Linked DNA regions of Danio rerio. The main gene of each other region encodes a partner of the protein of the gene in region 2 in a complex. Links are inferred from orthologs where the notes say so. Each region holds a gene or a part of one and is shown on either strand. Other genes may lie near its edges. The genes, in order: sav1 and stk3.

Region 1 (10,240 bases), on a different chromosome or scaffold from region 2:
GCAGTAAAACAACGAGTCACAGTATTAGTTCTGCCGCTCATCTTCTCACTGTAAATACGGTTTCTCTCTTTGACACTCACATGAAAGCAGTCTGTTCTTCTTTTGTAATGGATGTTGTTCGTTGAGTTCAGTGCTATTTATAAGGGAATAAAATACTACATGTTTAAAACACAAGCTGTCGTCGAGATCATTCTGAATGATAATCAAATAACTATTATTCAACAACAGGCACTCTCAGGATGAGTGCTCTAGAAAGAGGACAAAGTGTTTCCTCTGAAGTTATTCTGAAATGATAAGTGGGATTATAGGGCTGCACAATACATCGGGTCCAGCATATCGCAATGTGCGCATTCACAATAGTCACCGCAGGATATGTATTTTTTAAAGGAACACTCCACTTTTTCGGAAATAGCCTCATTTTACTAGTCCCCAGATGTAAACAGTTGAGTTTTACCATTTTTGAATCCATTCAGCTGATCTTCAGGTCTGGCGAAAGCACATTTAGCTTAGCTCAGCATAAATCATTGAATCGCATTAGACCATTAGCATCTTGTTCAAAAATACAGATGATTTAGATAACTTTACTATTTAAAGCTCGACTCTTCTATAGTTACATTGCATCCTAAGACGGACACAGCTCATGATTATAGTTGTCCATGAGCTGCAGTAGAGAAGACATGAGATTTGTGTAGTTACTGCAGAGTTTAACGGAGTGAACGTTTATCATCAGCATGTGTTTTAAGGCCTAAGTGAGTTGAAATCATTCAGATATTTTACCATTTTTGTTAAATTATTTATACAGTAAAGAATCTGCAGTGTAAATTTAACATTTGATTATTACATTCCTGTATCTAAAAACTATTTGACTACCCTGAAATCCGTAAATCACTGTTTATTTCACTTTCATCTTTTCTATAAAGTATTTGTCTGTGCTTGTAATTTGTTTATTATATTTTAAGCATGATTCACAGCCCTACAAAATCAACCCAATTAATCAAACCTAATAAATTCTGTCCAAAATGAGATATTCACTTCATCTGGTGAAATTGTATTTCATATATTTAACTACAAAAACAAAATGTAATATTGCAATGTCAAATTTTTCTAATATTGTGCAGCTCTAAGTACACTTACAAGTACATCAACACATGTGTACACACGCACGCACGCACACACGCACGCATTTTGGGAAATAGGCTCATTATACAAGTCCTCTAGATTTAAACAGTTGAGTTTTACCATTTTTGAATCCACTCAGCTGATCTCCAGGTCAGACGGGACCACATTTATCTTAGCTTAGCATAAATCATTGAATCGGATTAGACCATTAGCATCTCGTTAAAAAATAACAGATAATTTACATAAATTTACTATTTAAAATTTGACTCTTCTGTAGTTATATTAGCTATGCTTCTATCCAAAAATTCAAATTACTTTATGCGCAAAACTAGATTATCGTATAAAAGACGTGCAAATAAAGCAGCGTTTTCATCCAACGAGTCAAATCGAACAAAATCGTCATTTTCTGATTATCTGGTGGCAAAAATCAACAGTAAAAACAGAATTTGCTGTGACAAGAAAAGCTGAGTGAATCTTTATTTAATAAATGACTTGTGCCTAAAACCAGGCTTAGACGCGGAGCACAGACGCTCTTGATTCTGGAGGTCATTAATAATATATTAACACTTATACTGAAACGACTCAGGCATTTTAGAATGACCAAAACAACATTTCAGATGTTTTACAGTGTGCTCAGCCTGCTGGTTTGTCCATTCACACACATTTTTATCATCACATGATTTTTTATAACAATCGCATGACCCTTTTTAATTTGCATACTGGAATTTGTTCGGTAAAAGTGTATCCATCTTAGTGTACGTGCACCTTTTCCTATTGAATAAAAATGTATCCTACTCAATTGTGCATTTTCAAAGTTTCTGCACATCTTGGTGTTTCCATCAACTTTTTTTTTTTTTATGTGCATATCCAAAATAGGTGGATGGAAACAGCTATTGTGTCCCAAGACTGACAGAAATGGCTAGAAACAATACTCTCATTTGGAAAATGTATGTATTTGAATTAATTTGATTACATTTGATACATTTAAGTATTTACATTTTTTATTTAATCAGATTTAAAGCTTTATGCAAAGCTAAGCTAAAAGGGTCTCCGTCAGAACTGGCTGAATAGATTCAAAATTGAAATCTCTAAGGGAGTCATAAAATGAGCCTATTTTGGTGAAAGGAAAGAGTTTCTTAAATAAGTTCATACCTTTGCTAACATTTATAATCATAAAAAAAGGCCCATAGACCTAGTGGTTAAGTGCGCAGACATAGACCATTTTGAGAGATGTACTGTAAACAATAACAATGGTCCTGACGTATTTCCTGTTTTACATTTTAAATTTCTATTGCTTTTGAGAATCCAATAAGAGCTACATTTTGACAAATAAAGTTACGATAGCTATTATAACATCAAGTTGTGATGATTGACTCCCCTCTTGTTACAGTTAGAAATAGTTTGACAACAAGAAGGAAATGTTCATGAGGCAATGACATCACCACTTTGAAATGGTCTATAACACCATGGTGCTCACGGCAACCCGAGTTCGATTCCAAGCTCCAGGTCTTTTGCCGACCCTTCCACCTCTCTCTACTCCCAATACTTTCCTGTCTGTAACCTCCACCATCCTTTCCAATTAAAGGTCAAAAACCCCTAAAAACAACTTTAAAATAATAATAATAATAATAATAATAAAGTAAGTAAATATAAAGAATTTATTCAAAATTATTATGCAGAAAACTGAGAAATATGGAAAACATTCTCACCCACACACACACACACACACAATACAAGGTCCTGGTTTATTTAGTGATGATGCTGAAAATACTTTTTACACACATTTTTAACTGGGGAAAAAACAAGCACTAACCTCTTTAAAAACGCCTTCACTTCATTCAAAGTGACGATTCAGCCTCAAAATGTTATCCTTAAATATAAGAAGCTAATTCCTTAAAAAAAGGAATCCACACAAACAATCAAGGACGAACTTACAAAAATGTCCAGGTCATATTTTACTTCAAGAAAATAAAGCACCATGAAGATTGCTCAACATTCAGAATACTAAAGCAACTTTAATTACTATGATTAAAAAAAAAATAGTGACTTTTATTATTTATTATTTGTTAATTAAATGCTAAACAATCCAAACCAGGCTTCATTTTCTTTCCATGAACTATAAATTCGGCCTGAAATGTGACCTGGATGCATTTTTGTGTGTTCGCCCTAAAAGCGAAACTATCATTGCAAATAGGATTAAACATAAATCAGTGATAACTGATAGAAGTGATTGTCCATAAAGACAATGCCATAAAGAATGACTGAGTCCTGCCATAACCCACAGCTGCCTGCAGGCCAACATATGCACAAAGACACACACGCACACACACACTTCCAACACACAGTCAAAACTCGTAACACACTGCCGTATAATAATAGAAGAGTAATAGTGTCACGTTCTGTGTAGAGTCTCTCTTTGGGCTTTATATTTGGAGTCGGATGTGAGAGTGTAAGGCACTGATAAGTAAGCTGTCTGAGTGTGTCATAACAAACAGTCAGATGTTTGGAGGGTAGTTTTTGGCTGGTTGCTGAGCGTACCACTGCTGCCGCTGTTTGCGCGTGTCCAGTTCGGTCAGCAGCGCTTGTCGATATGCTTCATAAGATTTGACGATGCACTCCAGCTCCTTCATGAAGAGCAGCTTCAGCATCCCCTGATATGTGTCCAGATCCATCAGCTGGAAGAGCTCCCACTTCAGGATGTGGTCATATCTGGGACGGAAAAACACATACATACACACGACTAATGAATCAGGACTCTACCAGACTTATGGGTTGCAAGAAACAGTCAATGAAAAACAATGAATATTATATTTTATTACTATATTATATTTTATCATATTATATATAATATTTGATTAATAAAAAAGGTTTTAGTTTGATGGTTTTTCTTTTATTTATGATGTAATTACATAAAAAAAGTATATACTTAATTTTTCCTAGGCCAGCCGAGAGACATAGGGCGTACTCAAACTATGCCATCCAAACCATGCTCAGGCCTGTTTCCCGGATTGTTTGAGAAGTGCGAGTGCTCTGAATCGGGCTCAGGCGCAGTTCAGTTGGCCGAACCAGGCCCAGTTGGAAGAGGTGTTCGATTCACTTGGGCTCGCCTGAGCCCGAAACTGAAGACGAGACGTTTCTTTAAAGGGACAGTTGGATATGGGTTTATTAATCATTCATACTGTTCAATGAATGCAAACTGTCGTAGATTATTAAAAACGCAAACCCCTCACTGCACGACAGCTGCACCATCAGCAAACCTCCTAATTCCTGTAGCTTGAGGACATTATGATTGTTTATGAGCGTCAAAAATGGCTGATCTCTTCAGTGAAATATTTCACTGAGGGTCGCTGCATCCCAAACGACTAAAACGATATAAAGAAATGTCCACCGTGCTGAGCGAGAACGCTTCTCACAGCGCATCATCAATGACGTAAGCGTGCTTAGTCGCGAATGCAATGAGAGTGCAGGCCGTTGAGGGAGACAGGAGGATGGACAAGCGTGCTTCAGCCTGGTTCGATGCGAGTAGTGCGAGTACGCCCATAGTCCCACCAGCCTGTCTTGGGTCTTCCCTGAGGCCTCCTTGAACCTTTGAACATTAGATACGATAGCAAATCATTCCAATTTTGTAAAGGTTTCGAGCCGCTTTCTAGTTACAGTTTTCTTGTTGGACGCTAGAAGTATTTTTAATAAATACTTGTCTTATATCATTAAAGTTGGCTGCTACAGGTATATTTTCCAAGTAAATTGTTGTAAAAGAGATGTCCATTCCATCACTAAAATATTTTGTATTACCTAACTACAAGTCACACGTTTGCACTACATTGAAAATGATTGGAAGCTGCGCTAGAGATGCACTAAGACAGCATATTTTCCATAAGAATAAATTAATATTTCAATAAAATTATTTATTTACAGAAGATGCAAGAAATTGACTGTTTAGAATATTATTTACAGGATCTACAGGTGTATTTTATTTAGAAGAGATGCAGCTTATTTTTGACTTACAATATGAAAAACATCGAAAACGATTAATTTTGTTTCCAAACATTATTTATTTTCCCTTTTTATAGGAAAAAAGTGACTTGGTTTTAGACAATGTGTGTTTTCATTCAGTTGTTTATTGTTAATGTTCAATAAATAATCATAGATTGTAGATAATGTGTGTTTCCTTCAATTATTTTAAAATCAAGTAATGCACTCTTCATTTAACAATCTGTCACTTGTGATATGTGAGCTTATTTACTAAACAAAACCTCTCAGTGAATTATGTGGCAAAAAATGAAATAAAATAAAATCAAACAAAAAAATTGTTCATTAATCAGAATAGAGTTAAAATTTTAATCTAGTTTTTGATTTTAGGCCAAATCGCCCAGCCCTACTTGACATCTCCAAAATATGTGAAAATGGTTTGCTAAGTCTTCTCCACATCTCCTTCAGCACTTTCCCAGATCCTTCTTCTGAGTTTGCATTCATGCAAACTGGGGATTTATAAAGTATGTAGTCAGATTCCTCCAGCAAAAAACTCACCACATACCAGAGCTGAAAAAAGTGGCATGAACAGAGCAGATATTTAAGCAACATAATTACTAGAATTGAACTAAAATAATCGACATGTCTATTTCTTAAACACTGTTAAATATACTGTTGTCAACTAAAATTCATTTATTCATTCATAAATATATTTTCAGCTTAGTTCCTTTATTAATCTGGGGTCGCCACAGCGGAACGAACCTACAACTTATTCATCACATTTTTACGCAGTAGATGCCCTTCCAGCTGCAATCCATCACTGGGAAAGTCAACTAAAATGGACTCAAAATATTGTCATTGAATTGAAATAAACCAGACAAAAAGAAAAAGCTAATTTAACACAATCACTTCTGTAACAGTATATAAACAATATAATTGTAGTTAAATATAAACCGTGTTAAAAATATGTCTAGAAGAGTAGAGCTGTAAAAAGTAAAAGTGCTGATATACATAGTTGCCCACCTGTTACCACACGTTAGCTGAATTCCATATTAATGCAACAAGCTGCAATGTTGTTCAGCAACCATAAACAATCTACAGTTACATCATGCCTACACTGATCACATGTCACTTCCTAACTAAAACACTACAAATTAAAACTAAGGCCTTTACAATAAATGACTGGATGGTACATTATGTCAGATTAAAGTCCATCTAAAATCGAAATGAGTTTTTTGGGTGTTAGTATTAATATTTTAGTTTTAAGGTCATCTATAAGCTAGTATGCGTTTAAAACAAAGACAGCATCTTTTTTAGAAGATATAAGCATTCAAAACATGCATGTTCTCAGTTCCGAACAATTTTCCATGACAGAGCACTTTAGCTTCTCATCAGACTGTCTGACCAATCGAAATGCTCTTTAGTATCTCAAATGGCACATAGTGCTACTAAACAAGGGACGAACAATTTAAGCAATGTAAATAAGATTTCAGAGACACAAGAACATAACTGGATCATATACACTAGTCATTTAAATTATTCTTTTTTTTTTTTAGGTAAATTACCTAGACAAGACCAGCATTACTATTATAAGCTTCCATCCACATATGGAATATCGCAAAAAAAAAAAGAGTAGGATAAACTTATCCATAGATAAACTACAATGTAATCACATTTGCCAAATAAATTCCAGAATACACAGCAAAAAAAAAAGTCTTGTGATTTTGTATTAACAGATCACGAAACAAAAATAGGTATGATGGGGTAGCACTAACGGGCCAATCTATCACATTGTTAAATATTTAAACTGTTGTTTTGGTCATTCCTTATTCTCCATGGCACAGTGGTTTGATATTATTACTTGCCAAAATTTTCTTAAGCCCCTGTGCTCCCAAAGAGCAATCTCACACCACCAAAAGCCACCACACGCTAAATGAGTTTCCACAATGAGAATCATTGTGTTAGAGTTAAAATCGCATCACACGCTAAACAAAACTGCATTTCAAGGCACTTGAGGGGACCTTTAATGTTGGACAATCTGTGTGAGAGTGTGAAACTTACTTTAGTGGAGCTCTGGCGTACACCTGTAGCCAGTCTGGAATCTCAGCTGAGTGATACGGGTTTGCTGGTACCAGTACAGGCGGGTTGCGTTCTGGTGGGCGGGGCTGGTAGGTGACGGGTGGGGGAGGGGGCTGGTCATAACGAGGCACACTAAAACAAAGAGAGTTGGCATATTTTAAAAACAAAATGGCATCAAACAGTCTAGATAATCAGTAATATATTATCATAATGAACATACACATATCATATACAGTTCAAGTCAAAATTGTTTGTCCTCCTGTGATTTTTTTTTCCCCTTTTTTAAAAAATATTTCCCGAATTATGTTTAACAGAGCAAGGAAGTTTTCACAGTATTTCCTTTAACATTTTTTTCTTATTTGTTTTATTTCAGCTAGAATAAAAGCATATAAAAGTGTATATATTTTTTAAGGTCAATATTTATAGTCCCCTTTAAGCAATATATTTTTTCTATTATCCACAGAACAAACCATTATTATACAATGATTTGCCTAATTACCCTAACTAGCCTAAATAACCATTTAAATTGCACTTTAAGCTGATATCTAGTACCTTAAAAAAATCTAGTAAGATATTATTTACTGTCATCATGGCGAAGACAAAATAAATTATTAGAAATTAATTATTAAAACTATTATGTTTAGAAATGTGTGGGAAAAAAAATCTTTTCTTTAAACAGAAATTGGGGAAAAGTATACATGAGGGCTGTATATCATTATAGCGTATGTTTAAATGACACTAACCTGGGTGCACAGGGGTGTCTGTACTGGGCACGTTTGTTGATGTGGTCAACATAATAGACTCCAAACTCGGCCGACTCCACCCTCTCCCAGCCTGGCGGAAGCCCCTCCCTCTCCAGCGGATGGCTCCAATGAGTCGTGTTTGTGTTGTGATCGATGAAATACTTCCTTCCTCGTATCGTCCAATCTACAGTCCAGCCAGGAGGAAGAGCCGCCTCCTCCCCGCTCATGGTCGTCAGATTACCCACTGACTTTGCTGGCACTCGGCCAATTGCTAGAAAGAAAAAAAAACCCACACATTCAGGAAAGTATTACAAATATGTGTGGAAAATGCTTCTAGAATGAGCTATTATAAGTTTGAATGAAAAAGGAGGTGGAGTGAAATGAAAGAGAGACGAAGAGCAAACAGCAAGTCGCAGCTGCAGATATTAAGCTAAAACCCCCAGTAGACTTTCAAAAGTTCAGCACAAAGAAAAAAACACATACGCACACACACACACACACACACATCATCACAGGGTGAAGGAAAGGGCAAACAACAAATGTACATTTCTCTCAGTCTCACAGATCATGAGAAACTGCAACAGAATAACAGTGGAGAAAATGTGTGTGTAATGTATATTGTAGGACAAGAAAAAAAATGAGATTTTCTGGTCATAAAAAAAAAAAAAAATTAGCAATCATTTCAACCTACCTCTTATTTTAGACTTTAGCAAGGCTTTAAATTTTGTAAGATTGTTGAATTTTCTATTAGCCGATTTTTAACATTTCTATTAGAACATTTTTGAGTGATGCAAATAAGTTTTTTGTATTTCTACATCCCATAATTATTCATTCATTTTCTTTCCGGCTTAGTCCCTTTATTAATCTGGGGTCGCCACAGCGGAATGAACCACCAACTTATCCAGCATATGTTTTACGCAGCCGATGCCCTTCCAGCCACAACCTATTACTAGGAAACACCCATACACTCCTATTCATACACTATGGACAATTTAGCTTACCCAATTCACCTATAGCGCATGTCTTTGGACTTGTGGGGGAAACCAGAGTACCTGGAGAAAACCCACGCAAACAAAGGGAGAACAAGTCCACACAAAAATGCCACGACAATCATGCCAACCACTGCACCACTGTGACACCCTAACATAATATATGCAGGTAAATATTGTTTTTTCTTTTAATTTTGATTAAACTTTACATGATTTCAAATTATATTTATTAAAATATTTTTGATCTAATTTATTAACCAGTAAGCTTTCTCTCACAGTCTCATGTTCAAACAAAGAATAAAGATTTAATATTATTAAGTATAGAGTATGACTATTAGGTGTATATATGACCTTACACAAATTGTGAAGATTTTGTTAAAAGAAAAGCAGACATCATTGGCAGGCATGCACGCATCCTCTCATTAGTAAACAAACAGTGCGTCAGCTCATGTGCGATTTCGCAGCCACAAATTTGTCATTACAAGATGACAAATGACATTTTTGGGTGAAATATACCTTATAAATACTGTATGTGACAATTTTAACACCATTTGGAGGTGTCAATGTTGCTGAGCAATGTATATACAACAATGTGAAGACTTGTGCGACCACTTTTATACTTCTGTCCTGACCATGAAAATATGATTGGCTAAATTGTAAAAAAGCTTAATTAAGATCGGGTGTAGGGTCGAATAAAGATCTATCAATAGAGAGCTATCTTTTTTGGTTAATTGTGCAGCTCTAACTCCTATTGTATTTGTTCCCCCAATTTGTTGCTGACATTCTCTCAAATATCTTCCTTTATGTGGATTCTTGCACTGGCAAACCATTTTGGCTTTATAAGACATCAACGTATTGTCAGAAGCCACAGTTATTATTTTGTTGAACCTGTATATGGTTTGTTTGACTCCCAAAATGCTGGTAGCCACTGAATTGCATTTTATGAATTACTAAAAGCACAAATGTTTCAAAAACAAATCTTCATTAACATTTTCCTGAAGAAAAGAAGTAATCTGATCAAATGTCATCTTATTATGTTATTTAAAAAAAAACAAGAGAATGCAATATATTTAACAGAAACAATCTCTAAACTTTTACATTCAGTTGAAGTCAGAATTATTAGCCCCTCTTTGAATTTTCTTTACTTTTTAAATATTTTCCAAATTATGTTTAACAGAGCAAGGACATTTTGAAAATATGTTTGATAATATTTTTTCTTCTGGAGGAAGTCTTATTTGCTTTATTTCGGCAAGAATAAAAGCAGTTTTTAATTTTTAAAAAGCCATTTTGAGGGTCAAAATTATTAGCCCCTTGAAGCAATTTTTTTTGATAGTCTAAAGA
Region 2 (10,881 bases):
ATGCAAAGTTGAAAATTTAACCATTTATAATATATTTTCATTTATTCTTGTGAAGGTGAAATTGAATATTCTACATCATTACTCCAGCATCAGTGTCACATGATCCTTCAGAAATCATTTTAAAATCTTGATTTATTCCTCAAGAAACATCATTTATGTTAAATAATTGGGAAATTAGTTGTCAGTAAACATATAGAGTGCGATACTGTAAATGCATATACAGCAAGATAAATAGTGTTGTAAATGTACAGTATTTTTGCTGTAATTGATTCACAGTAAGTTATAGCGAACTGCTGCCAGTAAATTACTGTAGATTGTTAACAGCGTAATATTTTAACATACTGACACATTAGAATTTTAGTGTAGGTCACAGGTGAAAGTGACAATTTTTGGGTGATGACTTTATATACCCACTAACTACACGCTGCAGCGAACCACAGCCATGATTTACTGCTGGGTCAGTCTGGGGCAAGCAGTGCAAGTGTTGGAAATGGGAGAATACCAGAGGATAACAAAGAGGAGAACGGCATTGCGGGTTATTAATAGATCTGGAAAAGGCCAGTGACGCTTAGAGTAAGTATAGAGGCTACCGCAGAGAGAGGAATTATACACATGGTGTTGACCAGCTGCCTGTTGCACACGCTAAAGGAGCCTGTCAAAGTGCATGTAAAAGTTTTCTAATGCACTAAAATCTGTGGTAAAACCTCTTTGGAAGCAGTGTCATTACTTTGATAACCCACTGCATATTACAGATGGTATTTCCATATCTTTATGGCGGTGTTAGTAGAAGTCAAAATAAGCAGTGGACGACTTAAATTGATCTGCACCTGCTGCACCTCAGATGGCATTATCTCCTTACATTAGGACTGTTACCTAATAATGCCATCAGCCCCTCCTTTTCCATGAAACCTGCTCTGTTTCTGGCTTATAAACATTGACACCACAACCAGGCATCACAACATGAAAGCCAACAGCTACTTATAATCATATTTCACATAATTACACCACGCTTTGACAAAATCCAGGTGTCAGAGTGGGAAAAGTGAATCAACACACACATACACGTGGACTACTGTATAAGCAAATCACACCATCAAAGGTCTGAAATTGCCAATAAAAAGGACAAGGGCAATAGGAAAATGGCATCACAGATGAAATGCAAACTGATGGAGAACATCACTTACTGATTTGGGCTTCTTGGAACCAACATTTTCAAGCATATCCTTGTTGCTGTCCTCCCAGGATGCTTTGGTATCCCCGTTTGAGGCCGATGGGCAAGTGTTGGGCATAGGCTCTTGCCCCTTCATGACCTGAACAGGGTCAAGACTCATTCTTCCCTACTCTTATCATCAATGGCACACTGTGATCCAGAGCTGCTTCACGCTGTACTGTTAGCTCTGCTCTCATGCACACACACTCGGTGTATTTCCCCAATGCCGTATTCCTGCTTCAGCGTCTAATGACTGAGTGCTCTGGTTGTCTATATCCTCTCTGCTCTGCCTGCAATCTGCTGCTGTGACGCGGATGATATCTAACCCCTTCTCTCTCTCTCACTCTCTTTCCCTCCACATTTATCCCTCGCTCATGCACATACTGTCCTCCTCCCCTTTCCTCTGTATCATGCTATCGGAAATCCGCATGTGCTCTCAGTCAACAGAACGCAATATTACATATTCTGATAGGATCAGCCAATGAGTAATGGGTTTCCCTGACAGCTGTCCTTCCCAGTCCACATACAGTTTGTCCTGTAGAAAGCAGCCCAGATAGATAGATAGATAGATAGATAGATAGATAGATAGATAGATAGATAGATAGATAGATAGATAGATAGATAGATAGATAGATAGATAGATAGACAGGCACAGTCGAACGGACGGATGGATGGATGAATGGACAGATAGATAAAAACACAAACTCAACCGTTGTTTCTCCTCACTGTCCCCCTGATGCCGATATAATGGGGTGAAAGAGCCCATAACCCAATAATCAGTTGCTAGGCAGCGCTTCGACCCCATGCAGGACCTTGCCAGAGATTGGCTGGTTTCTTGCAGTCCTGACAACAGCCTGGGGCCACGAGGGACACAATATTATCCACACTGTCCTCCCTCTGCTGGCTGATGCAAGAACTGCATCATCTGTGCTCAAATGAATACAGTATGTTTTGTGCATAATCCTTTCCGTTTAAATCTAGACTACTAAGACTCTTTGCACTAGAAAATATGAAGGCATTCATTTAAAATCCTAATCTTCTAAAAGGATTGTTAGGCTGCATTCATTAGGCCAAGTGGCGCTGGAAATACTTCCCTAAAAGACATATTCATGCTCATGTCTGTCTGTTTCTTCTTATCCCAAGGTTCACATAATCATGGATCCAGGCTGTATTTGGAGCAGATGGTTGTTGTGGTCATTGATGAGTCAAGAGTGCAAGGTTCTTCCAGTGGCAGACGAATCTCTGCATTGATCCCGTCGGCTAGTATGAACACCTGAACATTGACCTGCACCCTCTCCACAATAGATGCGCATAGACTGCAGCTTTGCCCTTTTACATTTGGTCAGAGGAAAACTAATCACCTCGGCTAAGCCTGATTTATCCAAAAGTTTGTTCTGCATTTCCATCAGTTGGTGGAGTTCTGTAACTGTCCACGCCTTCTGACATTTGTGTTAATAACTGAGCTGAATCAGTTTTAATTTAACTGGAACTACACATTCAGTACTCACCTGTCTGTTGATATGCTGGAATGTTCTACAGTCTGAAACATTGCCTTTTTATTCTCTTTCCCTTATTTATGTTACGCTGTTTTGGCACAATCTACATTTCAAAAAGCTCTATATATTTAAAGATGAATTGAATGAAGAGACTCAGTGTAAGTGTGTTGTAGACATGGGCTGGTATAAGATTCTGACGGTATGATAACCTTGGATAAAAAAACACCATGGTTTCTCGGTTTCCCGGTATCACGGTATTGTGATTACTGCTCCAAAATAAGTTCTTGTTATAAATGTATGGGTAAAAAACAACTTTTTCCCTCATTGAACACAATATATTTTATTTTGAGAAATATTTAAAGTATTTTGGACCACTAGCTTTTGCTGTAAAAGTTCATTTTCTGCTGAAGATATCGTTGCCCTAAAATTTTTTCTTAAAATAGTTGTCAAAAACATGAAAAAAACAAACATTTTTTTAAGTCTTACATATACCTTAGAAATGGTGTAACAGGAAATTTTGGTGGTTTTAAAACCTTGACTTTTCCAAATTTAGTTATCACCCCATGCCTAGTGTTATGTTGTTTATACTTGTCGATAGACATGTGACGAAAACCGTTTTCGAAGTATACCCCGGTTTGGAAAAGTCAGGTTTTAAAACCAGCTAAATTTTCTGTAAAACCGTTCCTAAGGGATGTGTAAGACTTTTTATTAACTTTTTTTTTAAACAACATATCTCAATGCAGAATATTTGCCATTTAAATGTTTAATAAATCAGTTTTTTTTAAACAAATGAAGACAGCAGAAGCCAATGATTACTTTTCCAAAATATTTTAAATGTTACTCACAATAAAATACTTTGTGTTCAAAAGGGAAAAAAGTTTTTGTCCTTTACCCAGACATTTAAAGAGCCCATATTATACATGAAATAGGGTCATATCTTGGTTGTAAGGGTCTCCAACAACAGTTTAATATGCATGCAAGGTCAAAAAACACTTTCATGGTCTTATAATCTGCATTTATTTTTACCTAATTATCCCAGCGACTCCTGTATGAATCGTCCAGTGATTCATTTGTTCCCAAACCCCTCCTTAGCGCGAAGCTAATCTGCGCTGATTGGACCAATGACAGTCTGTCGCGATTGGTCGACTGCCTTCAGTCAGAGAGTAAAATGCACAACAGCTAATCAGCAATATAAAAGTAATCACAGTTCATACACGCTCGATGGTGTAGGCGTGGAGTTTAGCTGCCAGTGGGTCAATGTAAATACAGACTATGGACTTGAAAATACAAACGACTGACTATTTTATTGAGCAAAAACTCCAAAAGCAGTTGAGGAGATCTCCTAGCTTCTCACTCTGCTCTTTTCACAGACACACACACACACACATATTGCACAAACACACACACGCACTTAACCCTGCTCCGAACGACAACGCGCGCGCACACACACGCACACACACACACACAAACACACACACACACCTCCGGACGACAGCACACGCACACACAGACACACACACTACTCCTCGTCCACGGAGCTCCGTTAACGCAGCACGCGTCGCGTTTTTAACGTGACTTTGCACGCGATAAGAGAATATAGCCAGTTAACCTGATACAGTACACGCGGTTACAAGTAACAAATCACAACTAAATACATTTGCAAGCTAGAGTCAACGAGGCAACTTTAATCGCACGTACTTACACTTGAGAAATGGAGGAAGAAAAATCCTGACGTCCATCAATAAGTCACTCTTTACTGATCCTTCCTTTAACAAACGCTGATGAAGTATTCTTTGTAGCATGTAGCTTCCAGAAGTTTCCAGTAGTTTCCAACTGCTTGGTTATAATGCTGAGGTTTTATGTTTGGGTAGAGACTCAATATATCCATCTGCAGTGTGACTTCAATCGACCGGCATGTTTGTGTGTGTGTGTGTTTGTGGGTGTGTGTTTGTGTGTGTGTCTGGGTTTCTGCGTCAGAGGGCGGGGCCTCAGGTTTGAAATCTCCCGGGTTTGCGCGTGCACGTGAATAACTTGGTTTCGTTCGTACGTCATGGCGAAACACCTAATGAATCGGTATCAAGGCGACTCGTTTGAAGCACTATGAGTCGACTCTTTTATAGATGAATCAACCGTTTTAAACACTGTACACTAACAGATTTAAGCCTTAGCTGGATACTTCACTTCACTTAGAGCTGTGTTACACAATACATGGAGGGGAATTTTCAAAAACCCATAATATGGGCTCTTTAAAAAGAATATATTTTAGAGCAGTGGTACCGTGTAACCATAATATTTTCATCCAAGGTTATCATACCGTCAGAATCTTATACAGGCCGATGTCTGCTTGTCAATAAAAAAAGAAGATAATATTAAGAGGATAAAACTGAGAGAATGTATGCAAGTATTTCTCAGATAGTTTGTTCGTATTTTTTATAGTTCTTAAAATAAACAAAACAAACAAACTCCGTTCAAAGATACACGCAACTTGCAAGCTCGTCGTCAAACGAGTGAAAATTGTAGTATCTCATACTGTAAAATATTACGTTTGTAGGACTTTTACTTTGACGAGTCGTTTTTCATGGAAAATTACACACGTCAGCTGGCTTCACATCGTTGTTAGCAGCGGCACGGAAAGACATAGCAGTGCTTCCTTAAACTCCAAACAAAACATGCGTTATTGCTTTTTCCCTTAGGGTTTGAGCAAACAACTTTTACATTTTTACGCAAATTATATTTTTATCTGAATAACAAGAATGGAGCATTCGGTGCCCAAAAAGTAAGTCACTATCTCGGCTAACCAGTTAACAGCTAAGCTAATATTTACAGGCCTCATCTGAGCAACGAAACTGACACTTCAGATCGCCGACCGAACTATAAAAGATCGTTTGGTTTATATTTAGATGTTCGTATTTATAACTACATGATCAATACTTCAACGCAGTCTGACTTCATGCAGTTTTGTTATATTGTAGATTCTAGTTTTACGTTATAACTGCTAGTGTGGGATCCAATGATGTTTTATGCATTTAATAAAGTAACGTTTCGACTGTTTTGATCAACAGTAAGCTGAAGAAACTCAGTGAAGACAGTCTTACCAAGCAGCCAGAGGAAGTATTTGATGTTCTTGAAAAGCTTGGAGAAGGGTGGGTAGCATAATATTTGTCAACATAGGTAGTGAATATGAATGCTTATGTTTTGTTTGACACTTCTACATTTCAAATGCACTTTGCTTCAGATCATATGGAAGTGTTTTTAAAGCCATTCACAAGGAATCAGGCCAAGTTGTGGCCATTAAACAGGTTCCTGTCGAATCAGACCTGCAAGAGATCATCAAGGAGATCTCCATAATGCAGCAATGTGACAGGTAAAACAACATACTTAGTTTATATATTTATTATTAATGTAAATTTGGATGTGTGTGAAGAACGTAACAACATTTTCATTCCTCATTGTGTTTTAACAGCCCATATGTGGTGAAGTACTATGGCAGCTATTTCAAAAACACAGATCTGTGGATTGTGATGGAGTACTGTGGTGCTGGATCTGTGTCTGATATTATTAGACTGCGCAACAAAACGGTGAATAAAAATACTATGAATGCACTATATAGCATCATCAGTGTAATTTAAGTTAGATTATTATATCTAAGAGATATTGATGTATCAATAGAGCTTCATAACAGAGACTTTTATTTGCTTGACTAGCTTACTGAGGATGAGATTGCCACGGTCCTCAAATCCACACTGAAAGGTCTGGAATATCTCCATTTTATGAGGAAAATCCACAGGGACATCAAAGCCGGGAATATTCTCCTCAACACTGAAGGTCATGCTAAACTAGCTGATTTCGGAGTAGCTGGACAACTTACCGTGAGTTTTTCAACCTACCTGCTAGATTGCATAGATTGATGTGGTTTTATTTGTTAAAAAATAAATAATATTATAATAAATACATTGATATAAGTAATTTAACTAGGGATGCACAATATATCGGCGGCCATATCTTTATTGCTGATAAATTTTATTTTGTTATTGGTCCGAAATCAAAATTAGGCCAATATCTTAAAGCCGACAGATTACGTAATTGTACAGACCTGCCTGCCTTGCGCATGCGTTGGTCGACCTTGTTCAGACGTGTCCAGTGCACTATAACGTAGCTTATCTCACATTGTTTATTCATCCATCCTTTCTTTGTGTGGTATTGCTGTGCGCAAATAACTCTGTAAGTAACCATATCCCTTATCAGATATGTTTGATAGAGTATCATTGTGTATTTTGGTTTAAATCGCCTCAGGCAAAGTATTAAATGTGTAAATATAATAGCAGCGATGCACACATGCTAAGCAACTCGTTGGGTTGTTTGTAATCTAATATGATTATTTGTTATTATCAACGCGTTGCTTGCCATTCGTTGTTGATGTAAGATTGTATTCGGTTTGATTTTGTTATTTAACCTATTGTTTTTATGCAACGGTCTAGTTGGATGTTAATTTTCTAAGCAATGAAAGGGAAACCATTAAGTTTTGGAATGCTTATTTATGTGAAATCATAAATTTAGGCCTATAGTAGGGTTGTCCACACTCGGTCCTAGAGGGCTGGTGTCCTTTAGGGTTTAGCTCCAACCCAAATCAAACACACCTGAACCAGCTAATCAAGCTCTTACTAGATATACTAGAAACTTCCTGGCAGGTGTGTTTTAGCAAGTTAAGCTAAACTTAGCTGGACACCGGCTCTCCAGGACCAAGTTTGGACATCCCTGGTCTATATAATCACCTTACAATTTTGAAATTATTGCTTTTTTGTTTTGAGTATAGACTATTCAGTTCATAAAGCCCTGCTCACACTAAGATTTCAGCCACAATTTTGTCATCTGAGACGATGGGAAATCCTAAAAGATTCTTGAAATTCGTGATCTTTGATCGTTGGTTTGACATGTTCAGTGACAGATGCTTAAAGCCCGTTGCGATCAGATTTTTTTTGTGACAACAGCTGCAATCTGAGAACCAATAGGACCTCAGAATTTGATGTCACAATCTATGCAACAATTCAAATGACCATGTGAAAATGTCAAAGAGTCTTTTTCATTCTGGTTTTATTATTGAGACACGCCGTGTGCAAAATTGCAGCTACAGATTGCGGGGATAGTGGGATAGTGAAAGTGTCACGGGTGGATGACGTCAAACTCCGGGGGCATTTTCTTTCATGTTTGGTGCATTTTCATTGTCGTTCAGTCTGACTTTATGACAGCTGAGATCTTACAGTGTGGCATGGGAGCCATGTTCGAGCAGTCTGACATGCTACAATCATTTAGGATTATAAAAAAACAATCGCACAGTGAAAGCCGGCCTTAAGATCAGTTCAAACTTTTACAAAGTTTAAAAAAAAAATGAAATCAGTTGTTCACTGTATAAAATATAACATTTTGAGATATTTATATTTATCGGCTAATATATCGGTTATCGGCCTCCAGATCTTTAGTTATTGGTTATCGATATCACCAAAAACCCTTATCGGTGAATCCCGAAATTTAACATTCATATAATATCATTTAACATGCATGGAAATGTGTGAATTATAGTTTTGGGTTAAATTCTGTATTTTAGCTTTGTCAAACTGCACTAAAACGTTCAATAAAAATCTATTTGAAGAAAAAACATTTGATAATGCTTGTTCAGAACATCCATTAAAACATCATTTTACTTTTTTTCCTAAAAAACATAGTACTATATATATTGTTTACTGAGCTAATAAAATTCATTTAATCATAAGCGTTCATAAGAATATTTTCTGTTTTCTTTTTTATTTTATTGGATAAATTTAATTCAGCTAAAAGCTTGCTATTGAAATCAAAAAAACTTTCTCAAGGTAAAGTTTTACAGTTACATATACTATTTTACATCTTTCACAGTTACTTTTTTTTGTAAACCAATGAAATATGGGAGTTTTCCATCAGTGTTTTTTTTTTTTTTGTATCTCAGAAATCTCTGTATTCTGTATCTCAGACTCTTACATGATGGAACTCAAAACTTTTTCTCTCATCGACAGTCATTTATTTAATGTCTCCAAGCCAATTCTGTATATGTCTCATGAATCATTGTAATCCTGTTTGTTTATATTAACCACACAAGGACACAATGGCCAAGAGGAACACAGTTATAGGAACACCCTTCTGGATGGCGCCCGAAGTAATCCAAGAAATTGGGTACAACTGTGTGGCAGATATCTGGTCTCTCGGCATCACATCCATAGAAATGGCTGAAGGAAAGCCTCCGTATGCAGACATACATCCAATGAGAGTGAGTGGAGAACACTGAGAGGAGTCTATGACTTAAAAACATTGAGTAAATGCTGGATGATGGTGACTATATCTGTTTTTTCTGTCATTAGGCTATTTTTATGATTCCCACAAACCCTCCACCCACGTTCCGCAAGCCAGAACATTGGAGTGACGATTTCACAGATTTTGTGAAGAAATGTCTGGTGAAAAACCCAGAACAGAGAGCAACGGCAACTCAACTGCTGCAGGTATGAGAACTAAGAACCACATACAGCGGGGAAATAAGCATCAAACACGTCCTGTTTTTTTCCTGGGAATAATATTTCTAAGGAACTATTGACATGGAATTGAACCAGATTTTGGTAAAAACCCAAACAATACAAACAAAAACAAAAAATCTGAAAAATTAGTTGTATAATTACAATAAAATGACACAATGAGAAAGTACTGAAATACTGAAACGTATTTCACACTTTGTATAAAAGGCTTTTTTGGCGATGCCTCTCATTTGGAGACTGAAGTCGCATGAATTGCTCAGGTGTGAGTTTTTTCAACAGAGTGTAGAAATCTTGATGGTTTCTATTGGATTCAAGTCAGGTGATTGGCTGGGCCATTCTACAGCTAGATTTTCTTTCTCTGAAAGCATTTGAAGGTTTCCTTGGCTGTGTTTTAGATCATTGTCTTGCTGAAATGTCCACCTTGGTTTTATCTTCATCATCCTGGTAATGTAAATGTTGGACTGAAGCAGCTAATATTAATTTACAATGAGGAAGGGCAGAGGGTTGCTGAAAAACTACTGAGATTTAAGCTGCTGTCTGGGCTTTCACTGCCTTTCTACACCTTCCTTTCTTCATGTGTTCAATACTTTTTCCCTGCGTCATTTAATTTTATTTTGCATAACTAAATTTGAAACTAATTAGATGTTTTTTTTGCATATATGTATTTCTTTAGTTGTTATAAACATTTAGGGAAGTCAACGGCACCTTTAGAAATATGTTTTCTGAGAAAAATGGTGACAGGTTCAATTTTTATATTCTCCGCAGTATTACCAACCAATAGTTCCTATTTGTGACTCGTGCAGATACTCATTTATTATTTGAGAGGATGCTTTCCATCAAACCATGATACTTGGATGTTTTTTTAAAAAAAAGTATCCCCAAGAAGAATTTTGTTATTTATCATATATTAAATTGAAAAATCATATATAATGTTTTCAAATCACTTTTATTGTCACATCATCAGCAGCACGTGTGCTATGATGAATGAAAAGCTTTTTATTGTAGAATTAATTTATGTGTGAGTTATGAAGTTAATATATGTATATATGTATAAATGTAATATATGTATATGTAATATATGTTTATCTCTATTAGGGCTGAACAATATATTGTCTCAGCATTGATATCATAATGTGCTCATTTGGAGTTGTCACATCGCAGGAGCTGCAACATTGAGTTTGGATTATAATTTATCATTTGCATGTGTTTTTGAGGCTTTGGATGAGGATATCAAATGTATTCAGGCCGAAGAAATTGCACTATTTGTAACTTTAATAACAATTCATTTTTTTGGATTATTTATAAAACAAAGACTATGCAGTATTTTATTGCGTTTATCTATGCTTGGAGATTACTTACAGATGCACTGCCCTACTGCATCATCCCAATCAATCCAAAATGATAAATTCTTTCCAAAGAGGTATTCAAGTCATCTGGGGCCTCATGTATCAATTCTGCGTATGCACAAAAACTTTGCGTACGCCAGGTTTCACGCTCAAGTTTGCTAAATTTGCTAAAGATGAAATGAACGTGAGAATGTGCGTTGGTCCACGCTATTTTCATGCCTGGCGTACGTGCATTTCTTGTGTGTGTTTGTTTTATTTCCATTGGCGACTCTGAG

What was found.
Region 1: the proteins of stk3 (region 2) and sav1 are in contact, whole or in part, in a crystal structure (PDB 6AO5), measured with the Homo sapiens proteins. The link is inferred for Danio rerio from reciprocal best matches to the Homo sapiens genes STK3 and SAV1. Residues at the interface, in NP_006272.2 of Homo sapiens: Trp429, Lys430, Val431, Pro432, Gln433, Gly435, Phe437, Phe439, Leu440, Lys441, Asn442, Leu443, Ser444, Leu445, Leu448, Gln449, Arg451, Leu452, Leu455, Asp456, Met458, Met459, Glu462, Ile463, Leu466, Arg467, Arg469, Tyr470, Ala472, Lys473; in NP_068590.1 of Homo sapiens: Tyr311, Ala312, Arg313, Ala314, Pro315, Asp319, Trp324, Glu325, Phe327, Gln328, Leu329, Leu332, Asp333, Gln336, Leu339, Lys340, Leu342, Phe343, Glu346, Leu347, Ile350, Val351, Met353, Tyr354, Ala356, Tyr357, Arg358, Ala360, Leu361, Leu362.

What each region holds. Positions count from the first base shown.
Region 1 is NC_133188.1:40,250,449-40,260,688, forward strand, and holds the end of sav1 (protein salvador homolog 1), read right to left. Parts: intron 8,182-10,240; coding exon 7,911-8,181; intron 7,300-7,910; coding exon 7,150-7,299; intron 3,829-7,149; coding exon 3,615-3,828; 3' UTR 2,851-3,614; downstream 1-2,850. UniProt on the Homo sapiens protein: Regulator of STK3/MST2 and STK4/MST1 in the Hippo signaling pathway which plays a pivotal role in organ size control and tumor suppression by restricting proliferation and promoting apoptosis.
Region 2 is NC_133194.1:35,268,715-35,279,595, forward strand, and holds the start of stk3 (serine/threonine-protein kinase 3), read left to right. Parts: upstream 1-5,343; 5' UTR 5,344-5,459; coding exon 5,460-5,482; intron 5,483-5,768; coding exon 5,769-5,849; intron 5,850-5,941; coding exon 5,942-6,070; intron 6,071-6,169; coding exon 6,170-6,284; intron 6,285-6,410; coding exon 6,411-6,575; intron 6,576-8,833; coding exon 8,834-9,001; intron 9,002-9,092; coding exon 9,093-9,230; intron 9,231-10,881. Other genes in the region: nt5c1aa (5'-nucleotidase, cytosolic IAa), read right to left, coding at 1,185-1,331. UniProt on the Homo sapiens protein: Stress-activated, pro-apoptotic kinase which, following caspase-cleavage, enters the nucleus and induces chromatin condensation followed by internucleosomal DNA fragmentation.